Linked DNA regions of Arabidopsis thaliana. The protein of the gene in region 2 interacts with the protein of the main gene of each other region in a pairwise test. Each region holds a gene or a part of one and is shown on either strand. Other genes may lie near its edges.

Region 1 (8,083 bases), on a different chromosome or scaffold from region 2:
AACTCTACTTTAAAAATAACAATTAGATATTTCCTTCTTGGTAACTATCACAATTACATAACAATGACATATACAATTATATATATATATAACAATGAAATATACAATTATATATTTATATATATATATATATATATATATTGGCTATAAATAATAAAAGCCTGATGCACTTTTTAGTTAAAGATAACACTATAATTATGTGAAATTGTTGATCTTTTTGTGTAGTTATAATTGAGAAAATGCAATAAATAGAGATTGAATGAAATTATAATATTGATAGGTCATCATAGACACATCATTCAAATAAACATTTTTGTATTTATCCTTGGAGAGATTATTGATAACCAACCCACACAAGAACTCTCCCAAAAAAGTTGTCTTTGGGACAAAGACAAATGTCTAGAAGAAAAGAAAAACAGTTGGGGCAGGCTTGATTATTTGTCAATTGTGACTTTAAATTTAGGTTAGACTTTGAAACATAATATTAAAAAAATAAAGACATTTGTAAAGAAGAAACGTCGCATACCGTACTGATATTTGACCAAAGATTGATCAAAGATTGATCAAATTTATTAACTAGAAGAAGAAAAGAAGAAGAAGAAAGAAGGATTAGGCAAACAAGTAATTTCTACTATTATATAAGCAAGGAGATATATAATTAAGGAGTCATATAATTTGACCAAAAAAGATAAAAGTCAAATTATGGAAGAGGCATTTTTACTTATAAAAAAGCAAAATAAGGATCTCATATTCTTAATTTATTCAACTAATCCATTCATTTTTGTGTGTGTATATATATAACACATCCTTGCTTGTTCCATTTCTAAGCCAGTTGGTAGTTTTTCACATATATACGACCTTGAAGATTAAAGATGAGGTTCTTGTTGATGAGCATGACGTTGGTATTAATTGTGACGTTTGGGGAAGCATTTAGTGATAGATGGAGCAGAGATGAGATGGTGGAGATGGCTGGCTACGGCGAACAAAAACTCTCCTCTGTTCTTCTCACCGCCTCTCTTCTCTCTTCCTCCTCCTCCCCTATTCATGGTACGTAACCAGTTGGTAATAAGTGGATTGGTCCGTATTCCTTATATTATATACTACGAGATTTCTAACACATCATCATCATCATACAGGAGCTACTATTGGCTTCAAGTGCCATACTGGACATAGGAGGAGATCTAAATGGATCAAAGCTGTGACAAATGAGTTGGGGCAATTCGTCATCGATCTTCCTTCTCACCTCCACGCGATTCCTGACTTAGACAAGGCTTGTATCATTAAAACACTCTCTGTCCCTAAACCGTATCGATGCTCTTCCAAGATTCACAGAGGTATTCAACTCCTCTCCTCTTCCAACGGCTCTCGTGTCTATACAGCTGGAAATATCACCTTACAAGAGAGCACCATGTAAAAGAGACTGTAAATTAATCTTGCTAGGAAAGATCAGTCCTGACTTTATTTCTATATGGTTCCTTCTCACTTCTTGTGAGAAAGAGAGATAGTCTTTGTAAATCTTGTTCTTCATGCTCTTCTTGTATATAATAAAATTTATGTTTTCTTCAAGCTTGGATCTTCTTGCTACTACAGAGATCATACGATCCTGTAACTGATTATGATATATATATTAGATGCAAAGTTTGTTATGTTAGCCTAACAACCAAGGCAAGACCAAAAAATCTGAGAGAAGACATATATGGTTATGTATGACTTTGAGAGAGAATATGCATGTTTTTGTGTTTAGCTGATTCTGATTTACTTATAGGTTTCCAAGATAATTGCTAACATTCAACTAATTGGTAGGAGAAGAGAGAGGAGTTTTGTGTCATCATCTGGAAACATGGCTTTGCAATCCGATATACATAACACACATACACATCTCTTGATCTTTAGTTTTCACTTTCTTATAATCCATCATCCAATACTCAATATGTACAGTACAACCTAACATTAGACCATATTCTTTAGTATTCAATCCCATAAGCTTCTTCTTCCTCTACTGGCAACGTGGATTGGGTATGCGGCTGCACAACATAGCATAAACATATAAATATCAACTGTCTTGATGTTTGACTATGTATACTTCTCAAAAGACAAAGACAAACAACAAAGGATGTGATGACCAAACCTTCTCGGTAGTTTTGCCTTTCTACATAGTTTTGACTCTTCATTCAACATTGCCAATGCGTTTTCCTTTTCTCTCGCTGCGGCTTCCCTCTTTGCCTTCTTTGTCTCAACTTCAATGGCTTTCGTTAGAGCATCCACCTTCTTCAACAACATCTAAAAACAGAGGTATCTTAAGAGGTTTCATATAGTTGAGGATCTTAAACAACCACAAGAAGATGATGAAGTTACCTTGATTTCTTCATTTTTGGCATTTATAGTACCCTCTTTACTCTCACATAGCTTCCTTAAAGCAATCACTTCCTTCTGAAGCCTGTCATATAAAAACCCTGAAACCATATCTTCAGAATAAACATTTCCATCTTCCTCTGTTTTCCTTTCGCTATCTTCTTCATGTTGATCAGTCAATCCGTTTGCAGTAATCTTTGAATTCTCCATTTCATCACTTTCCCCAACTCTGTCAATTGGCTGATTCATAGCATGGATTCTGCCTGTAACTGAGCCTCTTAGCTGAGAACTAGACCTTTTCTTTGAGCCACCACCACTGGTCAAGAATCCTAAAATCTTGCCAGATTTTTCAGTCTTTGTAGTTGGAGAGACGAAAAACGTGTTTGGGCCCTTCAAGCCATCTTCTATGGTTTTCAGCCTAAGCTTTAACCTCTCCTATAATGTTTACTTGCATTAGAAACTACACTTTTTACCAACAGAATATTAACTACATAAGCAATCACCTTTAGCTGGGACTCAGCCTTAGCGGTTCTCTCGGAAACAGCGAGTTTATCTTTCAATTTCTGCATTTCTCCCTGCACACAGACACAAAGTTCAACACTAATGTTTCCCATATAAGCTAGTCAGTGTGTATTAACTGGATGTGTAAGTGAAAAGCAGTGAGTACATGGAGAATCCTTCTCTCTTCAAGCCATTGCTTTACAGGCATGACTCTATCGTTCTCATCTTTCCACTCGTTAGCAACTGCAAGTGCCACTCTACTTGCTGACACTTTGACTCTGGCTAGCTCTCTCTCTAAGGTTCTCTTCTCATCCTGGTAACGATGAAAAAATCATGTGATTTTCCTTTAAAACAAATGTGAGAATGAAGTACAAGAAACTAAACAGAACACTTGCATTGAGCTGGGAGATTTGGCGGCGATAGTCTCGAACTGCATTGGCGGCTGTTCCTCCTGCCAAGATCGCTTCCTCCAGTTCTACAATGCTTTGGGAGAGCTTCTCAATCTCCAACACTTTCTGGCGGTTAATTTTCTCAAGAAACTTGTTCTCATCCTGGCATATCTCAATCTGTCGTCGAAGTTCAAAGTTATGGTTCTGGACCTCTTCAACAATCAAAGCACGTTCAAGGGCACTTCTCAAGATTCTCTCTGCTTCAAGAAGCGCCGATTCTTTTGATTTTGTTAGACGTTCCAACGCTTTCTTGTCCTCTTGAAGTGCAGAAATCTGTCAAACAGTAGCATGTCAAGAAAATCTGGCACTTCACACTGATACAAGAAAGAAATTTGAAATACATATAGTCTTAAGAACCTCATGCTTGTGAATCTTGATCTGAGATTCAAGAGGAGCTATGATGGATTCTAGGGGTAGAGAGTCATCGTCCTGTTGGTGAGTGTAAACCCTCCTTAGTGCTTCTTCTGCAGCGTCCTGTGCCGCCAATGCATCTTCCTTCTCTTCTTCTAGCTTCTTCCTCTCCAACTCCTACAATCATGTCACAAGCTTAACTTATTCTAGTCATTTCTAATGTTTTGACATGAGTCCTTCACAAAGATGGTCTATAGTATTTGAGCAAAACCTCACCTTTTGGTCAACTTGATTCTCGGTGGCTCCAAGTTTCTCCTCCAACTTCCTCACGTTTTCTCTAAGCTGAAACAACACCAAGTAGCATCAATAGAGCTCAAGAAGCTCAAAAAGGACAGTTTGAATATGGAAAACATTGATCAAAAAAACTTATAGGTAAGATTGACTTAAAGTTTTTGTAGAACAATCACAAACAGAGTTGATGATCATCATGCATGTTACCTCCTTAAAGACTCTGTCTTTGAGCTCTTCATTTGTTCTCAAAGCCTCAACTTCAGCTTTAGCAGCCAAAAGCTCTTTCTCTTTTTCTGCAGAGTGGAATTAAAAGAAAGCAGAACAACCTCAACATCAAGCAAATTACTCATAAGGGTTGATGAACAATAAACAGAAAGAAAAATAAGAACCTTTAAGCTGGCTTTGCAGAGAAGAGGTGTCAGATACAAAAGGGTTTTCTGCTGCAGTCATTTTGTAGTCTCAACGGCTCCTCCTTCTTTGTTGCAGTATAGAAGATGAGTTTTGGTCTAAGCAGAGGAGAAATGGAGTCGTTTAATATATACACACACACTTTCAGAGAGAGAGAGAGGCCATTCCTTAAAGGAATTGACGTTGAAAAAGAGAGAGGGAGAGAGAAAGAGAGAGTTAAAAACTTACTAACTCTTTTTCCTCATTCTCAAGCAACCGTCTCCATTTCAAACCCTTGAGACAGTAACCAACCCTTCCCTCTTCTTCTTTCACTTTCATTACCCATTTACTAAATTCATATTCATCCTCCCTTATCTTTATTTTCAATTCTGAAATGCTTACAAGTTATTGACTTGTTCTGTTTCACTAATTATCTTCTTAGTTACACCGAGCTTGTCCTTAACATTTGGTTCATCATCATAATTACCTCATTCATGTTTTTCATGTTCCAACATTAGTGGTGTAGTTAATATTATTTTAAAGGGACACGGCGTGAAAATACAAAAAATAAAACAGCTACCACAAATGGAAATTAAAATAAAGAGAAGAGAATATAATCCAAAGGAAGTTGGAAGGAGAAGCAGCATATGACAGATATAAAGACACTAATCATAAGGATAAAGATAATTTAAATGATTGAACTAATTTCGTTTGGTGAAAACCCTTTTCTTTCTTTCCTGTTTCTTTATAATAAAAACCTATATTGTATCCCCTTTTTGTCTTTATCGTTTTTGATAAGATTATATGAATGTAGGTAACAACAGATAACAATTATGATAATCTTGAAATAAAACTAAAGCTTAATCATCTTCTAAACATGTATTATCCAAATGATTTTTGTGTTGCAGTTTGATTAATAGAAAGAGTAAGAAAGAAAAGTTGAAAACTTGGAAGAAGGAAAGCAAAGTGTGAAAAGGTGTTGCCTCAGCAATTAATAGCTTAACCGCAAAATATTGCACAAACCAAGCTTTCTTTGTATTAGTGGAAGTCACTCAATATCTCTCTTTGAATTATTAAAAATTAATTGGGATTTTCTCTCTTCTTTGCTTCCAAGTCTTAAGGTTTGGTTATTATTAAATCAAACAATGATAGAGAATTAGACAAAGAACACTTAGCAAGTATAATATAGAATCAACTGAGGTAAATGACCAAATTTGGAGAGAAATTAGGTGAATAACAACAATTAAGTCAATGGCAATATTTTATTTATATGAATATGATTCCCTAACAAAAACTAAAATCATAGATCCAAAATTCTAAACTCTTAACACATAAAAGTAACATGTTAGGGCAAAAAATTACTCTCCTGAATTTTGTTACTGAGTGCAAAATACTCATTAGTATATTGTTATTAAAGGCAATAAAGGAAGCTTGAGCCTTAGAAAAGTAAAGAATAAAATGAAGGCAATGACCTGTACTTGTTCAATCCATGGTTTTGTGGGTTGGTGAGCTCCTTTTTAAGACCTTATCAGAATTCAGAACCCAATCTGACCTGTAGATTTGTCTCATATTTTGTTACCTCACGACCTTTGTTCAGCCGCCAGTTGACTTATACCGGTATATATAGAAGAAGATCATAAAATGACCTAATCAATGTTTTGGTTATATTTCATTACTAGCAACCCACCCACAACCACATGACAATTTACAAGAGAAAAACAACCACCAGGTTTGGTTTGTATACATATATAACTTAGGTTGTGTTACAACTTAAAACATCATTGCACATCCTAAAAAATTTACAGCGACAGATGTGTTTTTGTTGTGCTCTTCTTTATCCACTCAAGTAACCATCATCACTATAACTTACCCAATCTAGTTTGGGTTTGGCTTCCACACGGAACATGTAGCCATGGGTCGTCTCTTCCAGAAGAGGTAGAGCGCTCCTTCATGGCCTCCCAGTTTGTAGTTTTTGTCATAAGCTTTCAGCATCTCACTCGCTGCAAACGCTGCAGATGTGCTGACCGGCCAACCCGTGAACCCAGCCATCATCATTCTGACCCTCCATATCCCCAGTACCTCGTGTCTCTCTACTCTCTCTGACTCCTCACATGCTATCATGTTCACTATGTCTCTTGCTACACAGTGTTGTTCTGCGCTGATTCTCTGCTTATCATCCCGTGGCCGTGCTGCATCTATCGACTCAAACATCGCTGTGTAGTAATCCAGTGTTTCCACAAACCGTGACAGGAATGGCGAGGTGTTTGTGTTGGATTCTTGCTCTACTAGAGTAACCAGTTTTGGGGAGAGGCTCTTGATCAGATGCAGCAGCCTGTCTCTGTGATTTTCAACACTTACGCTCTCGTCTGGCATGTGGTGTAATACATATGGGAAGTTCACAACAACAGCAAAGCCAGGTTCCAACCCGAGATGTTCCCGCTGCACCTTGCACCCAGACATGATGGCATCGTGAAACTCAAACGGGACACCACATGACTGCGCCAAAGTTGCAAGCCTCTCACCTACCAAGCTGAGTCCTCCCCCACGAGCATAGGTGGACTGTGAATCATCCACACCCGTCACACGCAGCAACGGCGGCCCACCAGGGCGTTTCGCAAGCTCCTGAATCAAAAACATGTATTGTGATCCCTGTGCAATCTGAAAATCGATAATGTGGACTCTGGTTTCCCCAGCTATTGCTTCCAAGATCTCAACATTCGCAGTTGTGTACGCGAATTTCCAGTAGGGGCAGATTTCATAGAGAACACTCATGTAAGACATCAGTTCCCTTCCCGTTGGTTCATTGCATTTCAAGGATTTGTATATATTGCTCCCAGACCCCTCAAGCCTCGCTCTAAGCCCTTCTGCCATGTAAGTGCCTAGCCGTTGGATCGGACTGCCTGAGACTGACACCATCTGTTCCAAGACATCAAGGAATCCATACGCTGTAGCGAAATCCCCATCAGCGACTGCCCGAGCAGCCTCCACCAGCACCTCTTTCAAGTCCAACTGTGGAGTCAAAGCCAAAAGTTCATCCCAGTTCCACGACTTCCCAGCAGCGGGGCTAAAACCTGAGAATTCTTCAACTTTTGTATCACCACTCAGCAGCGAGACCTCAAGTTCCCGAATCTTACTCTTGACTCCAGCTTCATCATAGGCAAGAGATGACACCCCACTCAAAGGTGATCCATAGACGTTGTCAGGGGAATGATGGAGATCCGAGATGCAAGACTGAGAGCCCTGAGGAGAAAACGGGCTCCGGCCAGATGTAATGCTCACAGAAGGAGAGTCATACGAAGGAAGACTACCAGAAGCAGTGGAGGATTCGAGGGTAAAAAAGTTTTCTTTGGACGGGATATCAGAGAAGCCTTTGTTGTCTTTCGCTTGAAACTGAGGTGAACAGTAGACTTGAGGATACAGCATGTGCAGTCCAGCCGCACTGTGATGTTTCTGAGACGTTTGCATTGGAAAAACCCCAGCAATACACTACACAGCTCCTGAATCAATCTTCTTTTAGCCAAATCACTCTCTACAGTGTAACTTGTTCAAACCAAGGAGAATAAAAACCTGCCTCCATGAAAACATCCAAAAACAACAAGTGAGCTACAACAGAGTAAAGCAACTAAATACAGACACTGTGATTTGTGATAGAAGAAGAAAAAAAAGGTCTAGTTGTGAATTTTTCTCTAAACAAACTCAAACATATGCGACAAAGTCTGCTCTCACAATCAATCACTCAAGTCATCATAGGG
Region 2 (7,134 bases):
GCGATCGTGTGCGTAGAGAACATCCTTCCTCTTTCTTGAAAAGATGGTAGGTCGAAAATGCCAACGGTTCCGTTTTGGTAAGAGCAGAATATTATCGGTTTGGCTTCTGCATCATGCATACCAGAAAGAGCATGAACACTACTCTGTTCTTGTCTGCGAGTTTGAACAACTTTCAAGATTCCGTTTTCAGAATAAGCCCAAACTTTTATGGTCCCATCCAAGGAAGACGATATCAAACATTTATCCCAACATAAGAGTGAAGTGACAGTGCCGGTATGTTGCTTCAGGGTCATTATACATTGCAGGGTGTTGAGATCCCACATCTTGATTGTTTTATCGACAGAACCAGAGTATAGCATTTGACCTCCAACAGCAAAACAAGTGACTTCACCACTATGTCCCTCAAGAGATGTCAAGTATTTGAATGGATCAGACTCAGAGTCTGTAGTAGCTTTCCAGACTAAGATACTACCAGAACTTGTTCCAGCAAAAAGCATTCCGTTTGCAATAGTCATTGCATTCACCTGACCAACCACCCCTGCTGCTTGAAGATGCAAATCTTGACTGGTTTGAACGTTAAAAGCCTTTATAGCGTTTGGCAAGCCAAGGAAAACCCAAGGGCCTTCACTGATTAGAGACCCTGCTTCTGCGTCAAGGTTGATGGAATGTACACACTGACCAGAATTGCAGTCCCAAACTCGCAATGTACCATCAATACTGACTGAAAAGAGTTTATCTGAACCCTCAGGGAGAGCGATCCCCTTTAGTTCCTTATTGTGCCCTTCAAGAGAAGCTACCATGGCCAATCCAGGGAAACAAGACCAAGAGTGTAAGAACTGGCACTGCTCACCCCTCTTGCACTTTCCATCTTTCCAATACTTACATACCCATTTTCTGAGACTAGAAGATCTCATTGGCCCACAAGCAGCATTCTTCCTCGCCAAACCTAAAACTGGTGGTTTCGGTGACACATCATTGGTCCTTGGCATATTATTGCCCTCGGGTGATTTGTACTCTTTTGACGTCCAAACCAGACTCCTTGAAAACTTATTTGGACGGTCGTAAGGGACATAAGGTCTTCTTCTCGTAACTATATCTGTTGCGAAATCTTGCTGTCTCGCAACAACTCCGTGTGAGTAGTATCTCCTTGGCGCTTTGTAATCCATACTGAGAGAGAGATCAAACGTATGTAGAGGAATCTAGATCTTCGATTAGGGTTAACGATTTCTCCAACTCGTTCGGAGAGAGCCAACAAAAAAAGGAAATTTTGAGACGGAGTAAAGAACATGTAAAGAGTAGAATGATCTGGGGCTGCAGAGGAATGGTGTATATATAGATGAGCGTGGCGGTTACGCTATAATAATTTCTATTGGGCTTAACTTTAGGCCCATCATTCGTGGGTCCAATTAATGTTCAATTCTATCATTAGGTTAGGTCATTAATTATACCCTAAAATCTCTGTACTAGTAGAAAAAAAGAGGTCTTTATTCTGTATACTAATTACTAATTAGAGCTAAATCAGGATGAGTCCATCGCAACTTGTCTAATTACTGTTAGCCAAGACCACCCTAGAGTCAATATCATATGTTAACAATGATGTAAACCTTTTAGTATTGAAGGCCAAAGTAGTAATTAATCCATTGACTAACTTCTTTTAAACCTTGAGACAGTGAAATACTAACTCATTCAACAAAAATGGATCAAGAACAAGGAAATATTCTGATTAAAGCCAATGTAGTAATTAATCGACTGAATAACTAACAATTTTATGATTCTGATTAAAGCCAATTTATTCGGTTATATTCGGTTTACATATTTGATTTAGAATGTTTAGTTTTATTGGTTTGGTTCGAGTAGAATAAAATATTCACTGTTCGAACAACAACAAAAAAAATTCCTTCATTTCTCTCTCAGCCCTAAAAAAGCTTCACGCCGGTTTGTTTCACCGCCGTTGTGCTTCTTCTTCTTCTTCTACCTGGGTTCTCTCTCAAACAAACAAATCTCCGACGACTCATTCGTTCCTCCCAGGTAAGCTTCTTCGACCAATTTTACTTTCGCATTTTTCTCCGATTCACAGACCCTAGCTGTTCCCATTAATCAGGATTTAGCCAGAAACTTCTAGGGATCTAATTGTTTTTGAATCTGAATCTGTATTTGAGTTTAACGTTTTGTCTCCTTGTGTAGAATCAGAAGATTTAGTGAAATGGCTTTTTGCAATAAGCTAAGCCGTTTCGTGAGGAGGCAGAGTGAGAATGCTTCCATGATTGGCTCTCTCAGGTCTTTCTCTGCTGATGCCACTCACCATAGATTCCACCAGGAGACTCACAATTTTCTTGAGCCAGAATACTATATTGGTAGCTGGGAAGCTCCGAGTGATCCGAAAGATGCAGAGAGAAAGCTTGCTCAGCTTAGGAGAGATTATGCTAAGAAAGTTCGAGTGTATCGTAAAGAGTACATTCATGAGATTGAGATGCTTCGTGTTGAGAAACAGCGTAAGGATGAGGCTAGATTGTTGGCTGAACGAGCTGCTAATGAAGAGAGGCGACTCTTGAAGGCTGAGGCTGCTAAGGTTAGAGCTGAGGAACGTAAGATTGCTGACGAAGAGTTCAGGCAAACTCTGGTGAGTTCACTTTCTCTCTTCTCCGTTCTTTGTTTATTGTATAGAAACCATGGTGGATGTTTGATCAAGTAGTTGGATTAGTGTGAGATGATTCTTGAGTAAATAGGAGAATGGGTTTGTCTGGATAAGGTTCATCTAGCATGTGGAGAATCAAATTGTTGTTTTCCTCTTGAAAATTTGGAACCTTTTCCTAGTTATGCATCAGGGTGTAGTAGTATTATATAGAAGAGAACTTCAAGGTATAGTATTATGTTTGTGATTGGAAGAGAACTTTAGATTAGAGCTGATGGAGATGTATGACTAAGAGCTTTGATAAACGTTGCTTAGCATCAAGTGGAGGTTTTGATGAATCCTGTAGTTATCATTGTCTCCTTACATTAGCTGTTGTTGTTCTGGTTACAGCTTTAGCATCGTACCTAACAATCAAAAATAAGATGGATTTTGATGCTGGATCTTGATGCTTTTAATGGGAATTCTTTTGAGGGCAGTGAAACTTGTTAGTTAGAAGCTTCCTTTGTTCGGGCTGTAGGTAGATGAGACATCGCACACACACACACTGACCAAAGCAGTATTCACTGATTCATTAATTGATTTCACGTACTTATGTCTGCAAATTAATTCAGAAGAGTAGTACCACTCCTAGGTTTCTATTTCTAGTTTGAGTTCCTCATGTTTCTTGGTCACAGCCTCAGAGCAGTAATGGTCATAGTGCTTTTCTTCTTAAAGTTGTAAAACTGATTCAAGCTTGATTCACTGACTGGTTTATGTGTTTAATAAACTGTAGATAAAAGAAAGAGCAGAAAAGCTAGAGATGTGGAAGATGATGGGCCAAAAGAGGGAAGAGAAGATCAAAGAGAGAGAGAAGCTACTGCGTGAACAGAGTTCACTATGGATCGAGCAAAAAGAACTGGAGAGGAAGATTACAGAAGCCTTGGTTGACAACGTTGTTCTCTAAACCAAAGCTTCTCCTCTGAATCTTTGTTTAAGAAACAATCACTTTAGTCCTTTTGTTGAAGACAAGTCTTTTTTTTTTCTTAGAGAAGAAAGCGAAGGCTGTTTTAGCCTTTTTGCATCAAGCACATAATGAGAATTGTGGTCTTGTGACCAATCTCTTGTTTGTTGTGGTTCTGGTGTCGTAATATCATCATTAATAAGAAGTTTTCTCTTGTTGATTGTTATCAGTAGAAGATTGTTTTTTGGTAAATCATCTTCCTCATTGGTTTCGAATATAATGAACCTAGGCCCAATAGTTAATCGAGTAATGGGCTTAGTAGGCCTATCAGCGTGACATGTTTTGTAAATTTATACAATGCCATGAGGGACAATATTGTAGTTTTCTATAGGAACCGAATTTGTAAATTTCTAGAGGCCCAATAGTTAATTCGAGTAATGGGCTTAGTAAGTCTCTTCAATGTTTGATCGACAAGTACAAGAATCTTTATCAACGGTTCGTAAAAATTGTCTACGGTGATAGAAAAGATGAGGCTGTAACTAGGGTTAAAGTAGATGATAGCCCGCAAAAAACAGAGTCGGATAAGATCAATTTGGAGGGAAAAAGGAAGAGAGGAATGTTGCTGGACCAACCTGAGAGACCTCTCAAGAAAAGGAGAAAATTTGCTATAAGCTAATCCATAAGAAAAAACAAAGGCCGGTCTCATCAAAAGTACTAAACAACACTTGTGTTGTGTAGAGTTATGATATCTAGGGACATAAAAATCTAACCGATATCGAGGAAGATATGTACAAATGCGAAGATCAGATGTTCGAGGTAGATATATTGATGGGAGCTCTAACAAGTGTAGTGGAGAGTGCATAAGAAGTTATTAAGGGAGAGATGAAACCAAAAGATCTTGGAGAGAAGTTCTACAAATGTGTAGAAATGTTATATGGTGGAGATATGTTTGAAATAGTGACAGAAGATCATCAAAGAGTTTTACCTATGATCGTGAGCCAGTTGAAACAGAAACTGCGTCATGTCACGGCTGCAAGAGAGAACTTGAAATCTGTCTGGAAGCAAACTATTGAAAAGTTTTCTGCAAAGCAAAGAGGTTCCACTCCACAAGAATCTCAAGTAAAGACAACAACAATCTGGTTTTAGAATGTAATTTTCATTAGGTTAATATGGTATTGGTGTTGGTTGTGTTTTTTTTGTTTAGCTAAATGTAGACAACCGTCTTTATAGATTTTAAATCGGGTATATAATTGTGGTTATCAGTATCTAACTTATTTTTCAACTAAATTAATTTTTTATTTTTATGTTAATTTGACAGAATTATATCCAATCTTTTAACTGACTATGTCACGTCAATATAAAATCGAGAATTAATTTGGCCGGTAGATTAATCTAAAGTTTTATACAGAAATTATCAAACAAAGTATACATGAAAGCAAATCAACATGTCCAACTTTTTCTGAATACAATTCAACCATAACACCGTCACATCACACTGACGGCGACAAAACAATGAAAAAGACATAATAAAAACAAAACATTAGAAAAAATCAAACACTAAAATAATGTTCTTATCAAAATAAATTTACAAAAACTAAAACCAAACACATGCACTCTCAAGTAAAAGACAAAAAGATCGATTTCAGACAACCAATTTTCCTTTCCACAACTTTTTTCTTCATGAAGAAGAGAGAAAAAAAACGTCGTTTTCTCTTTCTCTCCGGTAGTCCTGTCGGCGATAATATACGTTACGCTCGTTCTTCAAACAAGTTTGTAGCCAAAATGCTATTAATTGCTAATTAGTGGAAATTAATGATAAATATTAATAACGTTATGCTTTCATTTACCTTTACAAGTGAAAAGAAAGAAAAATTAATTATAAATTCTTAAATTGTTAATACGAATATAAAAAAGGCTGTCATTTGGCGTTAATTTTATTTCCTTTTTAATGGAATTATTTTATACTATATGTTAAAAAAACATAATTCGTTTTTTCCTATCATTTCATTTGTAGACTGTTTTCTCAATCAATAGAAAAAAAGGCTTCTCTGTGTTGTTCTCTGTGGTCATTCTTCTTTCTTTTCACTTCTTCTTCTTCTTCGCTCTTCTTCTCACTGTCGGGTTCCATTTGGCGCGAAAAGTTCTTCACTTTTTCCAGCTTTTTTTTGTTCTCTGACAGTTTTTTTTTTTGTTTGGTTACAAATAAAGATGCCAGTAAGTGTAAGTGTCTTTTTATAAGTTTAGTTCTGAAGTCTCTTGTCTTTCTTTTACTCTCTTGTCCGAAATTGCTTGATTCTCGATTTTGACGAAGCTTGAAAAACAAACCCAGTTCGTTAATGGTTTCTGGGTCTTCGTCATTTCACTGGATCCGTTAGAAAAATGATTCCTTTTTGTTATCTATTGATTCCCGATCTGAATTTGAAGCTCTTAGTATGTTTTTATTCAGGTGGCACTAGTTTTGCTGTTGACATTGAGCAGTGTGATTCTGATTAATGGGAGAAGTTACGGCGTCGGAAACATATGCGATCGTGGTCGGAGACCGAGCGAGAGACCACACAGTGTCAAAATCACTGATTTTGGTGCTGTGGGAGATGGGAAAACGTTGAACACACTTGCGTTTCAAAATGCTGTCTTTTATCTAAAGTCTTTCGCTGATAAAGGTGGTGCTCAGCTTTATGTTCCTCCGGGACGGTGGCTCACCGGAAGTTTCAACCTCACCAGTCATCTCACTCTCTTTCTCGAGAAAGACGCCGTCATACTTGCCTCACAGGTCTGTGTGTGTGTCTCTCTCTCTCTCTCTTTGTCTAAAGTCTTGATCATTCTAAAGAGTAAAGATCAGAGTTTGCAGCTTAACTGTTTCATAGACTTCTGATTAGCTTCAGAGAATCCTGTTTTTGAATTGATGTGTAGAAACCCAAATTTGGTTCAGTAGTTAGGCATTGTGGCTTAGGATGACCTCTGGCTCCAATTGCTAGCAAGATTGGGGATTATAAAAGGATATATCTCATTGCGCTGGTTTTCAGTTAAATCAATATATATATCTACCAATGTTCCATGGTTCTGCATTGTTATCAGTCAGAACATTTGTGTATTTGTTTCTCATTTTGTCTTTTATTTGTTGTTCTTACCTCAACCGTGTGAAGGATCCATCGCATTGGCAAGTCACGGATGCCTTACCGTCATATGGGCGGGGTATTGATCTACCAGGGAAGAGATACATGAGTTTGATAAACGGTGACATGCTACATGATGTAGTAGTAACAGGTTATATACATATTTTGTTCCATTCATTTCATTTTGTTTGCTAATGCTAAATAAAAACTCACTGTTGTATACCATATTCATTGGCTTAGGTGATAACGGTACCATAGATGGGCAAGGCCTTGTTTGGTGGGATCGGTTTAATTCTCATTCTTTAGAGTACAGTCGCCCTCACCTTGTCGAGTTTGTCTCTGCCGAAAATGTCATTGTATCAAATCTTACATTCTTGAACGCTCCGGCTTATACTATCCATTCAGTTTATTGTCGGTAAAAATAGTTTGAAAATTCCCTCTTATTATTA

Evidence for each region. The genes of interacting proteins can lie anywhere in the genome.
Region 1: the proteins of AT5G49210 (region 2) and MAP70-5 interact in a two-hybrid assay, tested with the Arabidopsis thaliana proteins (one large-scale study listed by BioGRID).

The regions. Positions count from the first base shown.
Region 1 is NC_003075.7:9,655,012-9,663,094, forward strand, and holds MAP70-5 (microtubule-associated proteins 70-5), read right to left. Parts: upstream 4,566-8,083; 5' UTR 4,395-4,565; coding exon 4,334-4,394; intron 4,238-4,333; coding exon 4,152-4,237; intron 3,996-4,151; coding exon 3,930-3,995; intron 3,831-3,929; coding exon 3,660-3,830; intron 3,576-3,659; coding exon 3,249-3,575; intron 3,167-3,248; coding exon 3,020-3,166; intron 2,928-3,019; coding exon 2,856-2,927; intron 2,788-2,855; coding exon 2,356-2,787; intron 2,281-2,355; coding exon 2,129-2,280; intron 2,025-2,128; coding exon 1,997-2,024; 3' UTR 1,641-1,996; downstream 1-1,640. Other genes in the region: AT4G17215 (Pollen Ole e 1 allergen and extensin family protein), read left to right, coding at 873-1,047, 1,137-1,414; SCL13 (SCARECROW-like 13), read right to left, coding at 6,207-7,796. UniProt on the Arabidopsis thaliana protein: Plant-specific protein that interact with microtubules and regulates microtubule dynamics. May play a role in anisotropic cell expansion and organ growth.
Region 2 is NC_003076.8:19,947,890-19,955,023, forward strand, and holds AT5G49210 (stress response NST1-like protein), read left to right. Parts: upstream 1-1,801; 5' UTR 1,802-2,028; intron 2,029-2,184; 5' UTR 2,185-2,203; coding exon 2,204-2,620; intron 2,621-3,022; coding exon of another isoform or gene 3,023-3,028; exon of another isoform or gene 3,029-3,404; coding exon 3,405-3,575; 3' UTR 3,576-3,824; downstream 3,825-7,134. Other genes in the region: AT5G49200 (WD-40 repeat family protein / zfwd4 protein (ZFWD4)), read right to left, coding at 1-1,166; AT5G49215 (Pectin lyase-like superfamily protein), read left to right, coding at 5,781-5,792, 6,019-6,342, 6,716-6,836, 6,926-7,100.